Linked DNA regions of Diceros bicornis minor. The protein of the gene in region 1 purifies or fractionates together with the protein of each later gene. This does not show direct contact. Links are inferred from orthologs where the notes say so. Each region holds a gene or a part of one and is shown in the gene's direction. Other genes may lie near its edges.

Evidence for each region. The genes of interacting proteins can lie anywhere in the genome.
Region 2: the proteins of CASP8 (region 1) and tumor necrosis factor receptor superfamily member 10A-like purify together in Homo sapiens (affinity purification with western blotting; 13 studies listed by BioGRID and IntAct, counting the BioPlex papers as one, with this or other methods). This does not show direct contact. The link is inferred for Diceros bicornis minor from reciprocal best matches to the Homo sapiens genes CASP8 and TNFRSF10A.

What each region holds. Positions count from the first base shown.
Region 1 is NC_080749.1:79,142,637-79,153,093, forward strand, and holds the start of CASP8 (caspase-8), read left to right. Parts: upstream 1-6,128; 5' UTR 6,129-6,238; intron 6,239-8,423; exon of another isoform or gene 8,424-8,485; intron 8,486-10,457. UniProt on the Homo sapiens protein: Thiol protease that plays a key role in programmed cell death by acting as a molecular switch for apoptosis, necroptosis and pyroptosis, and is required to prevent tissue damage during embryonic development and adulthood.
Region 2 is NC_080750.1:70,845,002-70,855,918, forward strand, and holds the start of tumor necrosis factor receptor superfamily member 10A-like, read left to right. Parts: upstream 1-5,873; 5' UTR 5,874-5,950; coding exon 5,951-6,151; intron 6,152-10,917. UniProt on the Homo sapiens protein: Receptor for the cytotoxic ligand TNFSF10/TRAIL. The adapter molecule FADD recruits caspase-8 to the activated receptor.

The sequences.
Region 1 (10,457 bases):
AATTTGGGGGAGGCATATTCTGGTCCCCTACAACGTGTTGTGTCAGGCGAGGGATGACTCACTCTCAGAAACTGGAAGTTTGTATCATAATGTTGTAAATCACAAAAAAGTTAATATTATAACCTAGCTCTTATGTCTACTCACGACCTTTTCATTTTGTGAAACAATAAATAACCACTGGGCATTTAATCAACGTTTGTTTAATAATGAATGAATATGAATTTTATCCACACCCCTAAGATGTTATTTGGAATGACTCTTATCAGGGCTTTTTGGCTTAATCTCCTCCTGAATAACTTTAGAGAAAAAAAAGTTTGATTTGGAGAGTCCATGACATGCCTAACCGTGGTGGCAGGGACCCCTTCCTAAATTCTGGTCCTCATTAGCCAACTGCCGCCGTCTGTGAGGGAATCAAGTGGCCGGCTTCCAGGGCAGCCTCGGGGTCAACACAGCATCCTTGCTCTTCAGCTGTGTCTTTCTGAGGAGCCCCGTGGGTTTGCAGAGACGCCAACTAGAATGCATGTTGTCTCAAGTGGTGTGAAACTCTAGCTCGGAGCACTGAGCAGGGGTAAAGGGGAGTGAGGCGGTTCATAAGCACTGGTGTGAAAAGAGCTACGCCATAGAGTTAGATGAGAAAACTGTAGAACGCACACACAAATGTTTATACAAATGTACAAATCATTTCTGCAAAAATTAAAGTTAATGCAAACATATGTTTGCTTTTGTTTTCATATAGACTATGCCAAGAAAGATAAATAAGAAACTGCATTAACCCTCCTAATATAGCTGGTGAGTTATCATTTTGAATGTTGAGAGCTAGATTCTGTAGGAATGGGGTATGAACTGTGGGCCTGGAAGGACACTTCCGGGGGAAGAAACAGTGTCTTGTGGGGGAAGAGGCCAAATATACAATTTGCCTACTTGGCAGTCTCACGTGGGCTGACCTGTGCCTGCACACCAGCTGTCCCATTGAGAATGTGTGTATTGTTCTTATTTTTACTAATAGTTTTTTTTTTTTTCGTGAGGAAGATCGGCCCTGAGCTAACATCTGCCAATCCTCCTCTTTTTGCTGAGGAAGACTGGCCCTGGGCTAACATCCATGCCCATCTTCCTCCACTTTACATGGGATGCCGCCACAGCATGGCTTGCCAAGTGGTGCGTCGGTGCACGCCCGGGATCCAAACTGGCGAACCCGGGCCGCCTCAGCAGAGCGCGCGCACTTAACCGCTTGCGCCACCGGGCCGGCCCCTTTTAGTAATAGTTTTGAGAAAAAAATCATTGCCCAATTTTTTAAATAAATATGTTTGAATTGTTCCTACCATAGACGTTCTTAAAATCCTTTTTGCATTGAGAAAACATAAGAATGAATTTCCTTTGAAGAAAATGAGGAGTGACTCCTTTTAAAATGGAGAAAATATGTATTTCAGAGAATGATCCTTCCATCTTTTGATTTTTTTAAGAAGCCGTCACTCGTCCTGTCTGTAGATACACAGCTGTGTAGACCCAGCTCAGTTACATCACCTTTCTGAGCTTTGGTTTCCTAAATGTCTTCATAACACTTGCCCTGCCTGGTAGACCAAAAAATGTGGTTATGAGTGAGGACCAAATGAGCTGAAGTAGGAAAATCGCTCTAAAACTGCCTCATGCTTAACAAATATATTGTTATCATATCATTTAAAGTGGCTCTTGGATGGTAGTGACAGTTGCACAGCAATGTGAATGTACTTAATGCCACTGAACTGTACACTTAAAAATGGTTAGAATGGTAAATTTTATGCTACATATAATTTACCATAATAAAAAAATTTCTTTAAAATGACTCTTGAAACTTGCCCTTAGGGTTTGAGGTGACCCATTCCTTGGGTGTGGGCATATAGTCAAGCGAGAACATGGAGGACCCTTGCCTTGTCTTCACGCAGACCTTCAAGAAAATGTTGAAAAAGATTGGCAATGTGAATATTGGCACCACAGCCCAATAATTACCTCAGTTTCCTCCTTTCTAGATCAGTGGGATGGGCTCTTGCTGGCAGTAGTTTTTTTTTGGGAAAGTAGAGGAGCAGGTACTGGCAACCAGCAGGTGTAGAATATTCGTGTTGAGATCAGTGACTGTAAACCCATCTATCTGCCGGTGACTGTCTAATCATCTCAACACCGGAGCAAATCCCGGCTGTTAAAAACGTTTGGATAACTGGTTGAGTCCCTCCCTGCAAGGCCCAGGAGGGGATGGAATAGATTGATTGGAAGTCATCTCTTTTCCTTTTCCTCTCCACTCCCTGGAGGGAGTCTAGGGCCCAGCCAAGGCCAGTGCTAGAGTCAAAGAGGGGTCAGGAGGGACCTAATCGAATCCACACACCAGACCACCTGGACTGTGGGTCAGTTATACACAAATTAATAAGGAAGCAATGAAAGAAAGAGCATGCACTGTCAGGGGACTTTTGTTTCACTGTCGGTATTTATCCTTGACTAAGGTCCTGTGGTTCAAATCCAAGATAATAGGACGGGTGTGCTGCAGCCAGGTGAGAGGAGGTTCAATCCTTCTTGGCTTCCTTAGGGAGATAGACAGCTCCAAATGGAGACGAGATTCTTTGGAGCAGGCCTCCAGGTGGGAGTGGAGATCCAGGAGGGTGGAAACCACTGGGCAGTTAAGTCCCACCAGGCTGTCCTCATCCTGCGCTGGGTGGGCACTCCCCCAGGCCCTGCTGCTGCTGCAGCACCTCCAGGTCTCCCAGCTTCCCCGGGACCTACAGACCACCTATGTTATTCATTTTGATATAAAGACATATCTCAAGATGGCACCAAGACACTGGTAAGAGCAAGTGAATTAATAATGATCCTTGCGGATCATAATAGGAACTTAACCAACTTAAGGTTCCAATTCACTTGTTAATTATTCATCTTCCTTTTTAAAAAGAGCTAAGACCAGGAGAGCCAAGGATCAATCCCTTACAGATGACACAAGTGGAAGTCCTGAGACCCGCAACCCAACCTCAGCACCTCCAGGGGTTCATCCATTTCTGCCAGGCTGGGCCTGGGTGTGGACAGCAGATGAGCACAAACCCTCGAGTGAGACCTTCCTGGGTTCCTGCACTGGCCTGGCCACTTGTCAGCTGATTGACACGAACTTAGTTCCTTATCTGTACAATATGTCTCATAATCCAAGCAGTCTTACAGACGTCGTGAGCCAAAGTAACAGTGGTAGTGAGTATCTGTTGAGAACTGTCGAAGGCCCAGGCACTACGCTAAGTGCTCCATCTGTTTCATCTCCTCTAATTCTGCTTGGGTGGGAATTCCAAAGCTGGGACCTGAAGACTGGTGTTTTTTTTAAGCCTCCTCAGTTAATTCTCAGATCAGTCAAATCGAGAACCATGGTTGTGTATGAATACTTAGACAGTGACTAACTGGTCAGTGTCTTAGAGACAAACAGACCTCACTCTGTCACTCACTACCTGAACGCACTCAGCCAAGTCTTTCAACCTCTCCAAGCCTCGGTTTCCTCACCCACAAAATGGGAGCAAAAATAGCATCCACTTCTGAGAATTGTTCGGAAGGTGAAGTGAGCCAGTTTAGGCGGCTGTGTCTGGCACACAAAATGTTTGATAAATGTTAGCTAGTGCCCTTAGACCAGCTCCTTTTTCTTAGGTGACTGAGAACCCAAAGACTGTCTGAACTTTGTGCATAGGTCACTCCCTCTTAGTTTAAATTTATTGCTTTTCCATCTACGCGGTTCACTTCACATCCTAAGTGTTGAGGAAGGGGGGCTAGTGTGCTACAGTGGAAAAATCCATGTGTTTGGTCCAAGAGGACTGAGTTTGAGTCTATGTGTTTAAGCCTCAGTTTTCTCATCCATCACATGGGAGAACAACCCCCTGCATTGCTGTGAGAGTTAGAGATAACCCACGTAAAGGGTACAACATATAGGTACTTGTTACGAGAGGTTCGGGGATTCGATCGGAGACGTAAAAGACACTTTCCACTCCAAACAAATGGACTGAAGGTATATTTTATTATATAGAGGATAGTAAAGGCGATAGTCTGCAAACAGATCCAAATAGGTCAAATATTAAGAGGGAAAAAACATCAGCCCGAGTGGAAAGGGAAAACACCCACATTGGCTGAAGAGAAATGACACAAATCAACCAGAAAGAGAAACACCAGGTTGACCGAAAAGAGAACACATCAAATCACTTACTACACATCAAATCAATTACTTCATATCAAATCAATTACTTACAACATCCACGCACTGCTGGGAGAGCCCTGTCAATCAACGCAGCTGGGCAAGGATCACACGTCCTGGGCAAGGTGTCCCTTCCACAGGTGGAACTCTCACCGGGGCTCAGTTTCCAGCAGTTTTTATACCATCAGTAATTTTCAGAGTAAGCAATTACAGAGTTTGCAGAGCAAGCATTTAGTGTTCCCATGTACAAAATGGTTATCAGTGGCGTACGTGCACTGAGCCTCCTGGCTAACATCCCGGCCCAGTAGTTGTGTACGTGCATTGTTCTCTTTGGTTATCGTCTCAGCCCGGCACAGATGGCCAGTCCATCCCGTGCTACGACGCTCCAAGAGCCTTGAAATGTTACAACTTGCAACTCTCTCTGTGGGAGAAAGGCCAGTTCCCGGGAAAAGGCCAGTTCCCACCACACAGAAAGCAGCTTTTATATTTCTTTTTGTGCTGGTGGCTGTAGGTCAATGGAGCGGCCAAACATGGCTGTACTCATGTCAAGACAGTACTGTATTATTGTCAGTGTTTTGGTTACAAAATGTACAAGACAATGTAGTCCCATTTGCTTAGTTTTTCTTTTGTTTCCCTTGCCTGAGTAGACACGGTATTCAAAAAGATGCTGCTAAGACCGATGGCAAAGAAGGTACTGCCTATATTTTCTTCTAGGAGTTTTATGGTCTCAGGTCTTACATTCAAGGCTTTAATCCATTTTGAGTTAATTTTTGTGTGTGGTGTAAGATAATGGTCTACTTTCATTCTTTTGCACGTGGCTGAGGGGAAGGGAGTGGTGGGAGGGTAAAAGGAGTAAAGGGGCACGTATGCAGGGTGAGGGATAAAAACTAGACTATTGGTGGTGGACACAATGCAGTCTATACAGAAACTGAACTATAATAATGTACACCTGAAATTTACACGATGTTATGAGCCAATATGACCTCAATAAAATAATTTAAAAAAATGTACAAGATGTGAAAACAAAAGGGCAGAAAACCCTTGAAATAATTGAAACTGGAAACAGAAGCAGAGAGTGGGGAGGGGACGAAGGATGAAGAAAAACTGGTGAGGGCCCCTGGGCAGGTCTGGGGGGCAGATCTCCACATTACACCACCCCAGCCTCGGCCCTGGACAGGCACTGCTTACTACTGCTCTTGGGAGCTTGGCTAGGGATGCGAACACTGTTGCTACTCCTACTCAGGACTGGGCCAGACCCACTCCACCCTTTTTGTGCACAGTCTCCCCACATTTCAGCCAGAAGCCTGCTCTTACCCAAGGAGAGCTCAGACATAGGATCTCACGGCTGGTCCATGGTATCCGGGCAGAGATTTGGGCCACGGCACAGAGGGACAATTCCTCTCCCCAGCCTGTCACGGGAAAATGGCATTATACTTGCCATGGGCAGTCTCAAGCCTGTCTTTAAAAATTACAGGGGTTATTAATAGTAAATGTAGTCAGGACAAATGCTTTCCAATAAAGCATGTCCAGCTTCCTGGTTTTCAGTTTGCACGTTGACGAACTGTCTGTCATCTCCTCCTCTGAATGGTTGGAACTCAGCACCATAATAAGAAACATTTCTTGTTGAATGAGTCACTGATCTCCAGTTTTAGGAATCAGCTTTATTCTCTAGTTCTTTTTGTTGAGGAATTTTCTCTCTCTCTTGCCGAGACCAGATTTTGCCCTTCTGCTGGAGGGCAATGTTTTCGCAGGTTCCCCTTTGTCTCTTGTGATTTTTTTAAAGCCCCGCTGGATTTGCTAGTAAATTCTGAATGTGGAGAACAGAGAAACAGGAAATGAGTCCGCTGGGGGAGGAGAAGAGCCCGGAGGAGGGATCGAAAGTAAAGGAAATCTTCTTCCTGGAGGCGTTTCCGTCCCCGCTCCCCTCCTCCCTCCCTGTTTCACGGGCTTTTTCTGTGGCTGTGTGGACAAGCCTTAAGAATTTGTGTGTGAAACTAGGCCGGTCAGGGGTCTGGCATGGGGACCTGGTGACTGTGATGTTGCCGGGACAGAGTGGAGCAGGTGAGTGCCTCGTGCAGACACGGCTTCTGGGGACTGCGTTTCCCGACCGAGTGGAGACACCTCCGGGCCTGCCAGGGCGCAGACGTCCGAATGGCGTTTCTCTCTGAACCACAGCCACCGGCCTTGCTAACTCTGAGGAATCTCCAGCTCCTCTGCTGCACTTCTGTTCACAGTCTCCCCAGCTGCCTCAGTACAGACAGTGTCTCTCTCCTGCTGGATCCCACAAGACTTCATTAACCCGTTTATGTTTGTTTTCTTTTCCGTTGGGCCCTGGGACAGAGGGTTGAGTTAATCATTCTGTCAGACCCCATGGCCTGTCATCCTTGGTCTCCCAGCCTGCAACACTCCCCCCCCCACCCCGTTCTAAGCAATTTCTTTGATCGCCCTACCCCCACCACACTTCCGACACCACTCACTGGCTCCCCAATGACCACTCTCTGCGTCTTTTATAAGTATCCCTGAATTGATCTGTCTTTGCAAAATGTATCGTTGTTTTGTGTGTGTACACTATATCTAAACTCTGTGACCTGGAGCAAGTAAGTATTTCTTGATGTCTGTTTCCTCATCATTAAATGGAATTAATGCTACCTCCTGAGGTGGTTGTGAGGATTGGAGGAGATAATACGTGTTAACCACTTACAAGAGTGACTGGCACTACGAAGTACCCAGTAAGTGTTAGCAATTATTATTGCATATGAGTATTATTTGTAAAAAGTAAGCACTCTGCCCTCTAAATTCTATGTATTTTGCCAGGTCCCACTTCCTAACCACTACAAGGTATTACACGATGGACAGTCTCCCCAGTCCTATATGAGGACTATGTAAGAACTTGGCCACCAGTCCTTGGTCTGATCCAACTTGCAAATCTTTGTCAATCTGATAGGTATAAAGTGGGTATTTCCTGGCTTTATTTCGTGTTTCCCCAGTTACTGATGAGTTTGAGCATCCCTTGGTACACTTTGGCTATTTGAGCATCCCTATCAGGGAAGTCCACGTTGTATCCATTGTCCTTCTACTGGGTTTCTTTTCTTGTTGATTTGCAGGAAACCTTTGTACGTTCTGGATCTTGCTATTCCCATGGCAGGTCCTGGGAACATGGACATGAAAGATGCGGTCTCTGCCCTGTGAAGCTCACAGCCCAGGACAGGAACTAGTCACAAAAGAGTGGAACAAATGCTGGGGTGGATGCTCAGGAGGCATCAAGAAAGAGTCAGGGAACAGCTCCTGGGCTAGGATTTAGCCCCTGCAGGCTTTCATTCTTTTGCTGTGTTCTCACACAGGCTTTACGAGCAGACTCAAGTGGTAGTGAGGGGCGTCAATGTTACCATGGCACCCTTACCTTGCCCGCTAAGGTGAAGAGGCACTTGCAGACACCTCATTTCATCCTCTCAACTATAACATGGGTCTCGGCCCTCTGAAAGCTTATATTCCATCTGGGAAAAGAAAAAAGGCAGTTTCAAAAAACAGAGGTGTTTGATTTTCTTTTTTTTCTGCTTTTAATATCAGAAAACATTTCAACCAACTCACAGCAAAAAGGCAGGGCTAATGTGTGTTCGTGGTTATATCTCCAGGGCCCCTCTTTGGTAAGGTCTGCTGGGCCTTATGGGAGGAAGGCCTTTGATTCTAGAATTTTCTAGGCTGTTAAGGGTGGGATCTGGTGGCCTCAGGGCCATAGAGGTGATCCTTGTATTTGAGCGTAGCTGGGGAAACCGCGGGAGTTAGCTGTAGGAGTTAGCATACCCTCTGAGAGCCGTGGTGAGGGCCCCACAGTTCCCAGATCTCAAGATCTCTCAGAAGTGCTTAATCGATATTTATTGAATGAAAACATTGAAGTCTTAGTAATGAACCCAGAAAATCTGTAAATTCCTGACATATGAAAAGAGGGGGTTCTTAGTTAACATCCAGTCCAACTTTCCTATTTGGATTGTGGTGATGAGGCCCCAGAGGTGAAATGACCCGTCCACAGTCACACGGCCAGGCCAGGGCTCAGGTGGCCGGGCTCCCAACCCAGCGTGCTGTGGCCTGTTGCACCTGGTCTCTCTCTGGCAGCTCTGGAAGGAGGCGCTGCTCTGAGGCCAGCCTACCTCACTCGGCCTATTGACTCAGGAGTTTTTAAAACAGGAAGTAGAGCGAGCTGTGCTTTTGGTTCTTCATTTGTTTTTTACTCTTGTCTTGGATGCGCCAGCAGAAAGAGGCCTGCGAAGAAGCTGCTGCCGCTTCGAGGATCCCAGGATTTGCTTTCATAAGGTCAGTTGGGCCTTCGGGGAGGAAGGCCTTGGATTCTAGAGTTTTCTAGGCTGCTGAGGGTGGAATCTGGGTGATCCTTGCGTTTGAGTGTGGGTGGGGAAACCATGAGTGTTAGCACTTTCTCTGAGAGCCACGGCGAGCACCCCACAGTTTCCAGCTCTCAGGGCCCCTCCAGCTCAGGTTGATGAATTCCTGGAGGCTTTTCTGGAATGCTCCAAGTATAGCTATCCGTATAGAACCCTCATCCTTATGCTGGCCAAATTTGTCAAAGAATAGAAACCGAAATTTAAATTTCAACTGATTTTGTTGCTATGCTTACCCATCTGCCAACACATACCCACTGACAGACACACACACATGCACACAGTCCTAATAATTCAATTATTCATTTTTTAAAAGAAATTAAAAAGGTACAGAACAGTACAGAAAATAGTAGAATGGCAAGCACAGACTGACAAAATCAGAGACCTGTGCTTGTGAGGTACAAGTATGTAGAGGTGAAGTTATGAATATCATCCAGTTGGAAAATTACAGGTCAGCTGTAAGTTTTGTTGAGATTTGAACACCTTTACTAGGCTGTGAAAGCTCTGGCTGCAGGGCCCTGTGTTTGACCGTGTTTGTGTGCAGGGTGGACGGCTGCCAGGTTCTGGGGGAATCCCCAGTCTGGGGCGGGCATTCTGGATGGAGGGAGCGGCCACACTCTCACTTAGGGGTTTGAACTGAGAGTGGCTTTCAAACTTTGAATGAGACGCAGATTTTTGTTTCAGAAGATTAATGCAAGTTTTGGATTTATTTTCCCCAGCTTTGATGTAGTTATCCATGTCACTGAAGGAGCTAGAGTGCTGCTAGAATATGGCTAGAAGGATTGTTTGTGATTAGATGAAATTCATTTGCAATTAATTTATGGCATATAAGGTGATGGTAGCGTTGGGACTCTGGAATGAGATGCTTAGGTCTGAATCCAGGCTCTAGCACCTACTGGCTTGGTTTGTAAGGTTCTCACCCTCTCTCTGCTATAGTGGATTTGTTAAGAATTTGTGTTTTGGGGGGTTTTTTTGGTCTTTTAAAATTTTTTATAATTTTAATCTTTAAAAATATTATGATTATATGCCTTTCTTCCTTCACTAGCTTCCAACTGCAATTAGAACAAAATCTGAATCTTGGTAGGGCCCATCATTTCAGCCCCCGAGTGAGATGCTTAAATCTGAGCCTGACTGCACTCTTATTAGCTTATTTCTAAACTGACTTTTCACAATATTAAAATGAGAACGATAATAGCAGTTTCTTCAGAGGCTTGTAGTAAAATGAGACAAGAAAAAATATTTTTATGTTTATAGGGCTATATGTTATAAACATTTATATCAAAATACTTCCTGACAAATTTATTATATAAAGTATTAAATATACTTATGCATTGTATAATACAAATATATTTATATATTTTATGTATATTTACATTTAACAGATTTATTTTTAACAGAAGTTATATAATTGAATTTATTATTTAACAGATTTATTATTTAACAGATATTATAAAATTGAAAGTAAAAGAAAACTTCCTGCAGGCGTTTCCATCCCCACTCTCTTCCGCCTTGTATGCATTATGTACCAACATTCTAATTTATAAATTTTATATATGTATATACATACACTAAAATTTAAATTTGTGAATTAAATTGGGGAAAACCCACCAAATGTGACCAAAGAATTACTTCTAAATGGCGAGTTTCTAAGAGATTTTTATTTTTCTTTTTACACTTTTCTGCACTTTCTCAAAGGAACAAGTGTTACTTTTACTATTTTAGGATCAGAAAAATACAACAGTGAATGTTCTTTTAAATATGTTACTTTAACAAAGTTTCCCGAGGTGAGCTCGAGCAGTGAACCCGGGTCCAGTAAAACAAGAACCACCCATGCTCCCTGCACTCGCAGAGCAGATGCCTGGAGGGGAGGCGCCTTGTAAATGGTGTAA
Region 2 (10,917 bases), on another chromosome or scaffold:
CTTGATTGCCTACTTTAAAAACCCTTAGGTTTAAACTACAGTAAATAAAATAAATGTATATCCGGATGAATGTTAAAAAAATTTAGCAAAAAGAACCAGTTAAAAACCGTATTTATAGGCGAATCCAATTCACAAGGGTTACAAAATACAGAAAATACAAAGAAATAGACTTGATAAGAAATAATAATAATTTATCTGAAGAAAATCACAAATCTCAAGTGAATTATAATAGAATACTTGAGTTGAAATATCTTTTTTGATAAGAAAAATATTGAAAAGATCTCAATTCTTCCTATCTGTTTGATAGTAATGAAACTGCTCCTCATTGGTACGATTGCACAAATGGCCTTTGCTCTCATCAATCTGAATTTAAATGTGCAACTATGACATACAACTATCTACTGGGGCTTTGGGGAAAAAAAAAAAAAAGGAGGAGGATTGGCAATAGATGTTAGCTCAGAGCCGGTCTTCCTCAGCAAAAAGAGGAGGATTAGCATGGATGTTAGTTCAGGGCTGATCTTCCTCACAAAAAAAAAAAAATCTGAATTTACGATGATGTTTGTGATCCTCCTAGAGTGGAAGAGGGATTCTGGTAGGAGTCCCCAAGAAGTAGAAAATAGACAAAAGGGATGAACTCCTGTCACGTGGCCCTTCTTTTATTCATTCACTGTGCAGCCAACATTTACCAAGCATCTGCTTTGAGCCAGGCACTGGGCAAGGTTCTCTTGGTGACTAAGGCAATGAAACAAGATGGGGCACCTCCCACACAGAGGGGACAGTGTCTTCTGTAAACATATACAGCCTGGGCCACATCCTCTGAGCAAACTTTTCAGCACATCACCACAGTGGAGAGGAGAAGAAGGATTTGGGATCAGACAAGAGAGGTTTAAACTGCAGTTCCATTATTTAAATGTAGGGACCTCACCTGAGCAAGCTGCATCATCTTTCAGGGCCTCAGCTTTCCTCATCTGCAGTAATGGGCTGCCAACACCTCCCCACAGAACTGCTATGAGAATTGAATAAGACAATGAATGTAAAGTGTCTAAATCAGCGTCAGGTGAATATCAGGCATCCAGTAAAACTGGATTCCTTAAGTCTATGGCAGGCGCTGTTTGCCTGCATAGCTTTAGGCACTGACATTGTGAATATGTTTAAGAAACATAAACAGCACCGCCAAGAGTCCTGGATGCTACCCACTGTCACTGTGAACACTGAGAACTCCCTTTGACTGTGAGGACAGAGCTGTCCTGCTCCATCTACCTGCCCTGACAGCAGGTCCTGAGGCTGTGGCCCTCCATGTAAGGTAACTGATCAGGAAGGTGGCAATAACAAAGCCAACTCTGGATTTTCCAGAAGCCTCAATTCCTGTCTGTGGCAGCACCATTATCATCATTTTCACGTACAAGAGGGAGGGTGAAAAGGATTTCCACCTGACACAGGTCAGTATGGCCAAGAGGGAAAGGCTCTAGGTAGCCCTCTTTAGCCCTCCTTTGGGCCACCAGGTTACCAAGTAAGAGGTAGCTCCAAAATTAGTCATAAAATGATCAAAGACTTTCTCAAACAGGAGAAAAGTTAGGGAACTGTGACAATAAGTGATGGGTTCTACCCACTTTCTGCATGGCTAATATTCAAATATAAATAGCCTAAAAGAGGAACCAGAGGAGGGAAGATAAAAGTAGGAAGCTGCCTATTCTGGCTTGTCCTTGAATGAGCTAGCCCCTGCCTCCCACTTGCACCACTGCCCACACTGGCCATCTTCATCAAGGACTTCAATAATTGGAAACAACAGTCATTTGGAAAGCTTAAATATTCCCAGTAAGGAAAAAAGGTATTGGGACAAGTCTATGTCTCCCTAAGATCAAGATCTAGAATAACTGAGCAAACTCTTTGTGTTAGATGATGTGTGTAAGACACAATGTGGAAAACAAAGAGACATTTGAAGTTAAAAAAAAAAACAGAGGGGATAAGAAAATTATTATGTTAACAGAATTGTCGAGTCACAACATATGCAGTATGCAAAAAAAACCCCCGAAAATAGAAGGTAAGACATGCTTGTGTCAAGTGAGTGGTAGAGATAACAGCTACTGTATTTCCAAGAAAGAAGACATCTTTTAGATGAGATGGAATAAAGAATGAACCCTAAGGTAATTGCAATAAGCATGGTAGAGAACATAAAATAGGACACTCCCTTCAAGGGCAAGGTATAAACCTCCAGGTTATAAAATAAATAAGTGCTGGAGATGTAATGTACAGCATGGTGACTATAGTTAACAATACTGTATGGCATATCTGAAAGTTGCTAAGAGAATAGATCTTAAAAGTTCTCATCACAAGAAAAAAACAATTTGTAACTATGTGTGGTGACAGATGTTAAATAGACTTATTGTGGTGACCATTTTGCAATATATACAACATTGAATCATTATGCGGTACACCTGAAACTAGTATAATGTTATATGTCAATTATATCTCAATAAAAAGAAATAGTTTTTTTTTTTTTAAAAAGGGGGAGGGGGAGGGAAATATTCCTATTACCTGGTGTTTGGAATTGTTAGACTGTAGCAGAGACCCAACCTGACCTTCAAGGTAGCTTGAATCGTGGCTGCTGCTGCTTTTACTCCCCATGTATCAAATGCCATGAGTATAAGGAAATGTGGTGCAATTACTCATTTGTCGTCACTGGCTTATTTTTAGTACTTTAAGCTTGGATGGATCCCTGCCTTCAGACATTCATACTGTTTGTTTCTTTTCGTTATTGTCAAGAGCCTGACAATTGCTTGCCAGTGCATTACTAGTCTTGTGCTATTTCTTCTGGAAGATAATGAATGCAAAATAAAAAAAAAAAAAAGTGAGTCCTGGGACAAAAGGAATGTGATAACAAGGAGATGTCCATAGGATGAGCTGGAAACAATAGCTACCAGCATGACTGGAGGTCAAGAAGAGTGAAAGAAATGGATGGAGAGGCCAATAGAGGTCAGGCCACAGCGAGGTCTTAAATGTCAGACCAGGAAGCCAAGACTTTACTCTGTCATAATATAACCAATAACAAGGTGTTAGAAATGTGTAACGTACTTCCTAGTTTTAAACTCTTTCCATCTGGTGCCACCTTTGATCAAGGAAACTTTCCTGTGGTTCTCCTGAAACTAGACATGCAATCACTGGAAAAGAACTTGCTACAGGGAGGGAAACGTGATTGACAAGTTTTTGGGGGGCCTTTGACTGCATTTGCAATTATTTTATTTCTTAGGCAAGATTATGAGGACATTAAAGTCCACTATATGATCTTATATAACTTTTGGTATGTCCAAAAAAAATGCACTGTTTAAAAAGAAAGACAGGAAGGAAGGGAGGGAGGAAGGGAGGAAACAAGAAAAGAAAAAAGGAAGGAAAGAAGGAAGGAAGGAAGGAGGGGAGCAAGCACCGTCTCCCTACTGCTGTAGACAGTTGACAAGATGTCTCACATTCCACCCTTCACACCAACAGGGCTTTGGACCTGTGTAGACTGCCTCTGTGGCCCTCTTGGTGTCCCTACAACAAACCAGTCTGAAGAAAGAGGTGCGGCTATGGAACCGCTATCAAGACTCCCTCTGGAATGTGGAGACAGCATCCAGAGAAGACAGCTGGAACCTTCAATAGCCCAGTGTTCCATTTATGCCAGGAGCTACTCCTACTCTTAAGTCCAAAACAGAAAGCCAGTCTGAAAGATATGACCACGCCCATTTATAACAGCAAAACTGAGGATCAGAGAGGCCAAAAATTAGTCCCAAGTAGCCTAGAAGACAGGGGGTGCACATGCTGTGCTGCCTGGGTGTGAAATGCCCACTATGTGGAATTTCATTACATGCTTTCCACGTTTTTCAGTTTTACTGACAACTTATAGCATCTTGAGATTGGACAAGCACATTTTCTGAATCGATGACTACAACAGTGATAAGTATTCTCACCCACCCGCCTCCTGAGTCTGGAGTCACCTTTGCCCTTTTTCCTTGACTGCTCATATTCATCTCTCATCACTTGTCTGTTACGTCTCAGGTTTCCTCTTTCTTCTCTATCCTTGTGAGTGCACCTCACGCTCTCCCTGCTGAATCACTGTAAAAGGTCTGCCATTTGACAGCTGTCCCTCTCCTCCACATGTTGAACCCAGGACACCAGACCCCCCTTTGTGTGTGTTTTGGTGCCACCGGCTGAGGACCACAGCCAACCAGCAACCCTGCTCTGCTGCTCACCCACTAGTAGATTTTTCCTTTCAGTGGAGAAGGGTTTCCTAATAAGAGTTCTTTTATCATTCTTTTTATTTTGTATCATCAAATCTGAAATGTACTGTAACAGACTTTCAATGGAGCTTTTTGAACCAAGTATTTGTACTTGCGTTGTGTCATCAAATGCTCACACACCCTGTAGGATGAAGAGCCCAGCAGCACCGACTCACCCAGTGCCAGAGCTGGCTTTTTCCTCCCGGTGCCAACTGACAAATTCCTTTCACTGGAGCCAGCTGTGTCCCACCATCCTCCTTGGCATGAGGAAGAGGGAGGGACACGGGCTTGGGAACAGCACTATGGAGTCTGTGGCAACAACCCACAGACATCAGAGGCCCTACCCAGACACTGGAGGACTAGATGGAGAGAGGAGGAAGATGCGGGAACTGTGAGGAGTGGGATGGGCAGGCTTTGGTAACTACATGGGCCTGACAAACTGGGGAGATGGGGCAGTCGAGGGTGACTTGGACACATGTCTCTGAGCCTGATGACAGGAAGCACAGCATTGCCCAATGTGAATGGTGACCCTGGATTGTGAAATCAGGGCCCTATTATCATTGACAGATATTCAGAGAGCTGGGAAGATAAAACAGGCCTAGCACAGAGCTGGGGGTGTAGGACAGCTGGAAGGGCCTGGCCCACGTGGGGAGGACCCTACCTAGGCCCCTCTGGTTTCATGCGTCCAGTAGTCTCTGAGGTTCTGTTTCCTAAGGGTTTTAAAGCATCTAACAGGGAAGGAAGATCCAGAAGAGAGGCTGAAGTGGGTTCCTCCGGCTTGCCTGACAGCAGCAGCAGGCAGGTTGAGATGAGATAACATGAAGACCTCAGACAAGAGACAAATGACGGACCTGGAATTACCAGAATGTTCAAGGTGTTGATGGGGGAGGTGTGGAAGTCTATTGGTGACCAGAATTCAGACCCGCTGATCATGGCCTCTGTGTCCTTCCTTCCGGCAACCCGTCCATTCATTGAGCGTCTGCTCTGTGCCAGGCACCTGGCTACGGAGGTACTAAGACCAAGCCCCTGACAGAGAAACGTTGGGCTGAGACAGAGCTGCAATGTGACCCTGGATGAATGACATCCGTGCACTAGGTCAAAGAGACCCTTGGCGGGAGCAGGGAGCAGAAGTTAAAAGCGGGCAGAGGGCCCTAGTCAGGACTGGATAGTACAGGGTTTACGAACATGAGATGCTTTGGCTCTAGAAAGAGGGCAGGATCAGGACAGGTCCTGGATGCGGACTCTCAACCTCACTACACCGGTCACAGCAGAGGGCACAACGTCAGGGAGATGAGGCCCCCCTACCCCCCAGGTCCCCCCCACCCTCCACCCCCGCCTCCTGTGCCTGTCCTAGCGTGGACAGGACCCAGAAACGAACTGCACGCCCCGGGGTAGCCGCTGCCACAATACCCTTCTTTCCACATCCCGCCTCACTTTCGAACGGTGCTCCCAGAGGGCGTGTGGCTCTCACTCAGGCGGGGCCTGGATGTATCTACACGTCACTGAAGTCACGAGTCTTGCCAACCTGTGGGAAGGTTTGCTTATTGGCTCCGATTCGCCCCTCCCGCTGACACCATGCTGACGCAATGTCAAAGATAAGAAAACAGGCTGCCACAGTCCCAAAAAGCAAATATCCTCAACACCCCGCGTCCTGCAGGACGTCCCAGCGCCCCGGGAAACACACCGAGTAATTCCTGATGCCTCTGCCAGGTTTCAGCCAGCGGCGGCGGGAACTAGGAGCGCTCCCTGACCTCACCGGGCAGCGCGGGCCGAGCGCACCGGCCGCCTCGGGCGCCCGGGCGGGGCGCGCCCCAGGTCCCAGGCCGGCGCGAGGAGCCAGGCCTCGGCTCCGGGGCCCCAGGACCCTTGTCTTCGTCGTCTTCGGTGTCCTGCTGCCGGTGAGTCCGGAAGGCGCGCCTGGTGGCCGGGAAGGAGCAGGGGGAGAGGGGGGACACGGCCGGGTGCCTGCCCGAGGCATGTCCAGGCAGATCGAACAGTGGGCAGAGTCCGGAGAAGAGCGGCACCTACCTGGGGGGAGAGGAGAAGAGCTGGCGCCGGCTGCCCCTCCCCCGCCCCGTCCTTGGCTGGCCTAGGGGTAAATTCCAGAATAGTTGGAAACTCCCGGGCAAGCGCAGGCTATCTTTTCTTTCATTCTTTTTACTGTTTTTTTTTTTTTTTGAGGAAGATTGGCCCTGTGCTAATATCTGTTGCCAATCTGCCTCTTTTTTTTTTCTTGTTTCTCGCGGAAGCCCCAGTACATAGTTGTGTATCACAGTTCTAGAGCTGTAGCTCTTCTATATGGGACGCCGCCTCAGGCTTGATGAGCGGTGCGTAAGTCCGCGCCCAGGATCCGAACTGGCGAACCCCTGTCCGCTGGGGCGGGGGGGGGGGGGGGGGGGGGGGGCTGTTTTTCCTTTTTACACTTACGTTTAAATTCTAAAACGTACTTATCCGAAGTCGGTTAAACCGCAGCCCGCGAAGAGACCACTCTGCTGCCTTCCCCACGTTTGGGTTCTGACCCCCGTGTGTGCGCGGGGAGCAGTTTCCTAGCTTTCTTCTAGTCACGTTCCTGCGCACAGAAAAGTCTCTGTGTAAACAGCCATTCATCGCTTAGTCAGGGATCCAGACCGTGCCCCATTCTTCAGAAGGGGTGTGAAGCTTTCCAAGCACAAACTGGTACTGCCATCCTCAAAAAACTCCATGTGGAAAACTGCATACTTCCTGAAAAAGCTCCATGTGGAAAACTGTGTACTTCGGCGTAGGGTTGATGAAACTCTGGCCCATCCCACTTTTCAGGTTCCTTAGGTGTTTAAAAAACAAAAATTAAATGCCAAATCAACATTGCAGATATCATGAAGTTTAAAATATTTTCATGTAACAAATTAATTTAAAATTCGGAGGGCCAGCCCCATGGCTTAGTGGTTGAGTGTGTGCTCCATTGCTGGCGGCCTGGGTTTGGATGCTGGGCGCGCACTGATGCACTGCTTCTCCGGCCATGCTGGGGCCGCGTCCCACATCCGGCAACTAGAAGGATGTGCAACTATGGCATACGACTGTCTACTGGGGCTTTGAGGAGAAAAAAAACGAGGAGGATTAGCAATAGATGTTAGCTCAGAGCTGGTCTTCCTCAGCAAAAAAAAAAAAAAAAAAAATTCGGAGAAGCAATAACATTTATAATCACAAAATAATCACAGAATTTATTTTTAACATTTTAGTTTGCATTATGTGAGACCCATGTTTAAGGCTACTTTCTGAATGGCTCACTTGAATCAGGTCGGTGTGTCTCTGGGTGAATGTGAGGATACCTGTGTAGACAGGTAAAAAATCTGAATTTTATGGTTTGGGGAACGTGAGACCTAGGCCTCTGACATCCCAAACTCCTCTTCTCATCCCTTCTCAACTCTTGCCTTTATTTTATGCATTTTCAGTCATGATCCCTTTTGTTATATCGTGAAACTAGTGACAAATTCCATTATTTGTTTTATGTCAGTACATGTAGAGTTATCTTATTCTTTTTAACAACAGCATGGTATTTTATTGTATGGGTAAAGCACATATGGGTGAACCAGTTTATTTTACTCTTGTCTCACGAATATCTTCTTAGATTATATCCGGTTTTTGTTTTTGCTAACTCCACAGCACTGAGTATATGCCCTTGTATGTGCCATATTCCATGTGTGCTGTGGGGTGGCTCCCTAGAAGTGGAATTGCTGTGTCAGCGGGTCAGATAATTTTGTAGTTTTGTGTAGATAATGACCAGCTGTCCCCCAGAAGAAGGCTGTACCATTTTACACTCACACTGAGTCCACAGGTACTCCTCTCTCCTCACACCCTCACTACACTGAACTTTAACTCTTTGCTAGTCAAGAGATAAAGAATGGTGCACCACAGAGTTGTGGTTCTGCTTCGTTGGTGCTCTTAGAGATTTCAACGATCCATGAGGTTTCTGAGACTGGGAGCAGGTGACCAGGAGACCCGGATTAGGCTGCAGGGGAGGGCGGCAGGGGGACTGGAATCCCAGCTCTGCCCTTGAGCTGTGTCACCTGGGGCCAGTTACCACCGCAGCCCTGCCTGTAATGAGATGGGGCCCATGTGCTCGGGCTGTTGGAAGGGTGACATCAGATGGGGCCCAGTGCTGAGCCCTCTCCTGGCCCCAGGTCCTTGTCTGCAGTGCTGGTATGGCCCCATTTCAGGTCCCTCTCTATCAAAGTAGGAGCTGTGAGGCTCAGAGGCTCAGAGGCTGAGTCAGGCTGTGTGAGTCCTGCTGTGGGAGCTGGAGACAGCGGGCCTGCTCGACTCCTTTCCAGCTTTGGGCCCCTGGTGTGGCCCCCGCTTCCTCCCGTGTGAAGTGGGGAGAAGTCTGCAGGGCCCTTTGTGAACCCCTGAGAGCCGTGGGGGCGCCGTGGGAGGCTGTGTGGGAGGACAGATCCCATCCTCGGGTGGTGTCCACCACTGTGGTGCTGGGAGGGCCACAGGGCACATGGTGTCCAGCCCAGCAGTGGCTGCCACCTGCTCGTGTTGGCACCTTGGTCTCGGCTCCCTGTGGTGGAGGCAGGAGCTTCTGAAGAACAGGGAGGAGAGCAATGCTGGAGGAGGTCGTGGAGGAACGCAGAGGAGCCCAAATGTCAAGTGATGACCATAATGACATTGCAGGGCCACAGGCCTGGCATCCTCAAATGACTCAGTTGTCCCTGTGCTGAGGGCCCCGCACAGGCGCAGTCTGAGGAGTGAGCAGGAAACGCATCAGTCCCTGTGGCTGCAGGTGGCTGGTCACCCAGCGCCTGCTGAGAAGGCCTCAGTCCCGGTTCTTGGACCACTTTCCCTTAGCCAGGGATGGAAGAGGAGCAGGGCTCTGCCTTCCAGGTGAGGGAGGGGGCCTGGGGGCAGTAACGTGCACTGAGCATGAGCTGTTGGGCAGCTTGTGTCCTGCACTGAGCATCCGTTATTCAGTGTAATTTTCCTAACAACACAGGGAGTTTGGTATGGTTTTCACCTGTGTTTCATATGGAGAAAATGAGACTCAGTAGGAATGGGTCTCCAGCATTTTAGGCCTGATCTCCTTTATAATATCAGCTCTATTTTGGCCTGGGAACAGCATCTCCCGCCATTCCTGTTCAGTTGTATGTGAGAAATGGGGAAGGGAGAGAGGATCTGCCTTGTGCCTAACACCCCAGGGTGCTAACACTTTAGACGACCACCTCGGACCTTTGCGGGAGGTGAGATAATTACAGCTTGCAGATGAGAAACTGCAGCTCAGAGAGGGCAAGTGTCTCGGCTGGGATTCACCTCCAGTCTGTAGAGAGGGACTGAGAGGGAGGGGGGAAATAGGAATGACTACTTTTACAAGTAAGACACAGGGACAATTTCAGTATTAAAGTGGAAGAATTTCGTTATTAGGTCATTGGAGTTTAGTTCACTCTTAAGGGTTGGTTAACAGTAAACTTCTGGTAACTAGCCAACACCGTCTTCTGCGGTCTGTCTGCTCTGGTGGATGGGAACATGGACATTTCCCAGCCCTGGTGAGCCTCGGTCCTTGTCCAGCCTGCTGATTTCCAGTGGTCTCTTCTCAGCCTGGGTGGGTCCCTCTCGTGTGTGCACAGATCAGCTCTCACCCAGACCCTGGACGGGCCCCTCTGCACGTCTCCAGAGCCCTCTCTGTGCAGCTTCTCCTTCCCCAGTTCTCTGCGCTGCATTTGGCCTCTTGGACTCCTCTCCGTGCCTCCTCAGCAGAGGCCCAGAGCTTCCAGTGCCCCCTCCCTGAGCTGCAGCCTGGAAACTGTGGGCAGTTTCCTGCAGTACGCCAAGGCCAGCACTGGGCTCCCCTTCTGTTTGTTGGTGGGGGGCCACTGTTATTGACCCCCCAAGGAGTTGATGAGCCCTTCACTCGGAGTGTCTGGGCCCTGGGGGAGATAAATTTCCTCTGACAGAGGTGAAGCCCCAGGTTATGGTATAGGTGGATGGTGGATGTGGTTTTGATTGAAATCAGCTTTGTGAGTAATGATTGTACTAACCACATCTTGTGCTTAAATACAGCACTTACCGTGGGCCAAGCTCTGTTCTCAGCACTTCATAGACATAAGGAACTCATTTAATTCTCACAACAATGCCGAGATGTAGGAACTATGATTATCTTTGTTCTCTGATGAGCAGTGTGAGACACAGATAAATTTGGTGACTTGCTGAAGGTCACCCAGTGGTCTGGTGGAGGGGCAGGCAGGCCAGTGAACAGCCTCAGGGGCAGCAGCACCAAAGGTTGGGTCACTGGGTCCCCTGCTGACCCAGTGCAGCATTTGGTGCTCGTCTATGAGGCCTGTGCTCGGCCAGCACAAGGTCACTGCTGGAGGGTCCCTGAGAGGTCATTTAGTACCACCCCTTATTTCAAAAAAGGTAACATGAGTTTAGAGAGGAGGGGAAGTGACTTTCCCAGGATCATGCAGCTGCTTAGTGGCTGGCCCTGGACAAGAAGCCAGATGACTTGATTTTCAGTTCAGTTTCCTACTACAGTTAAAAAAAAAAACTCATAAACCTCAGAGGCATATCTCAGGCCACAGGACAACCTTGAGGTCAGATCTGATACTGATGTATTAGCCTGTGAATCACCCCTAAGTTTAAGATAAACAGTGTAGCTTTCAGGGTGTGTTAACCTAGAGAAGAAAAAGGAGAT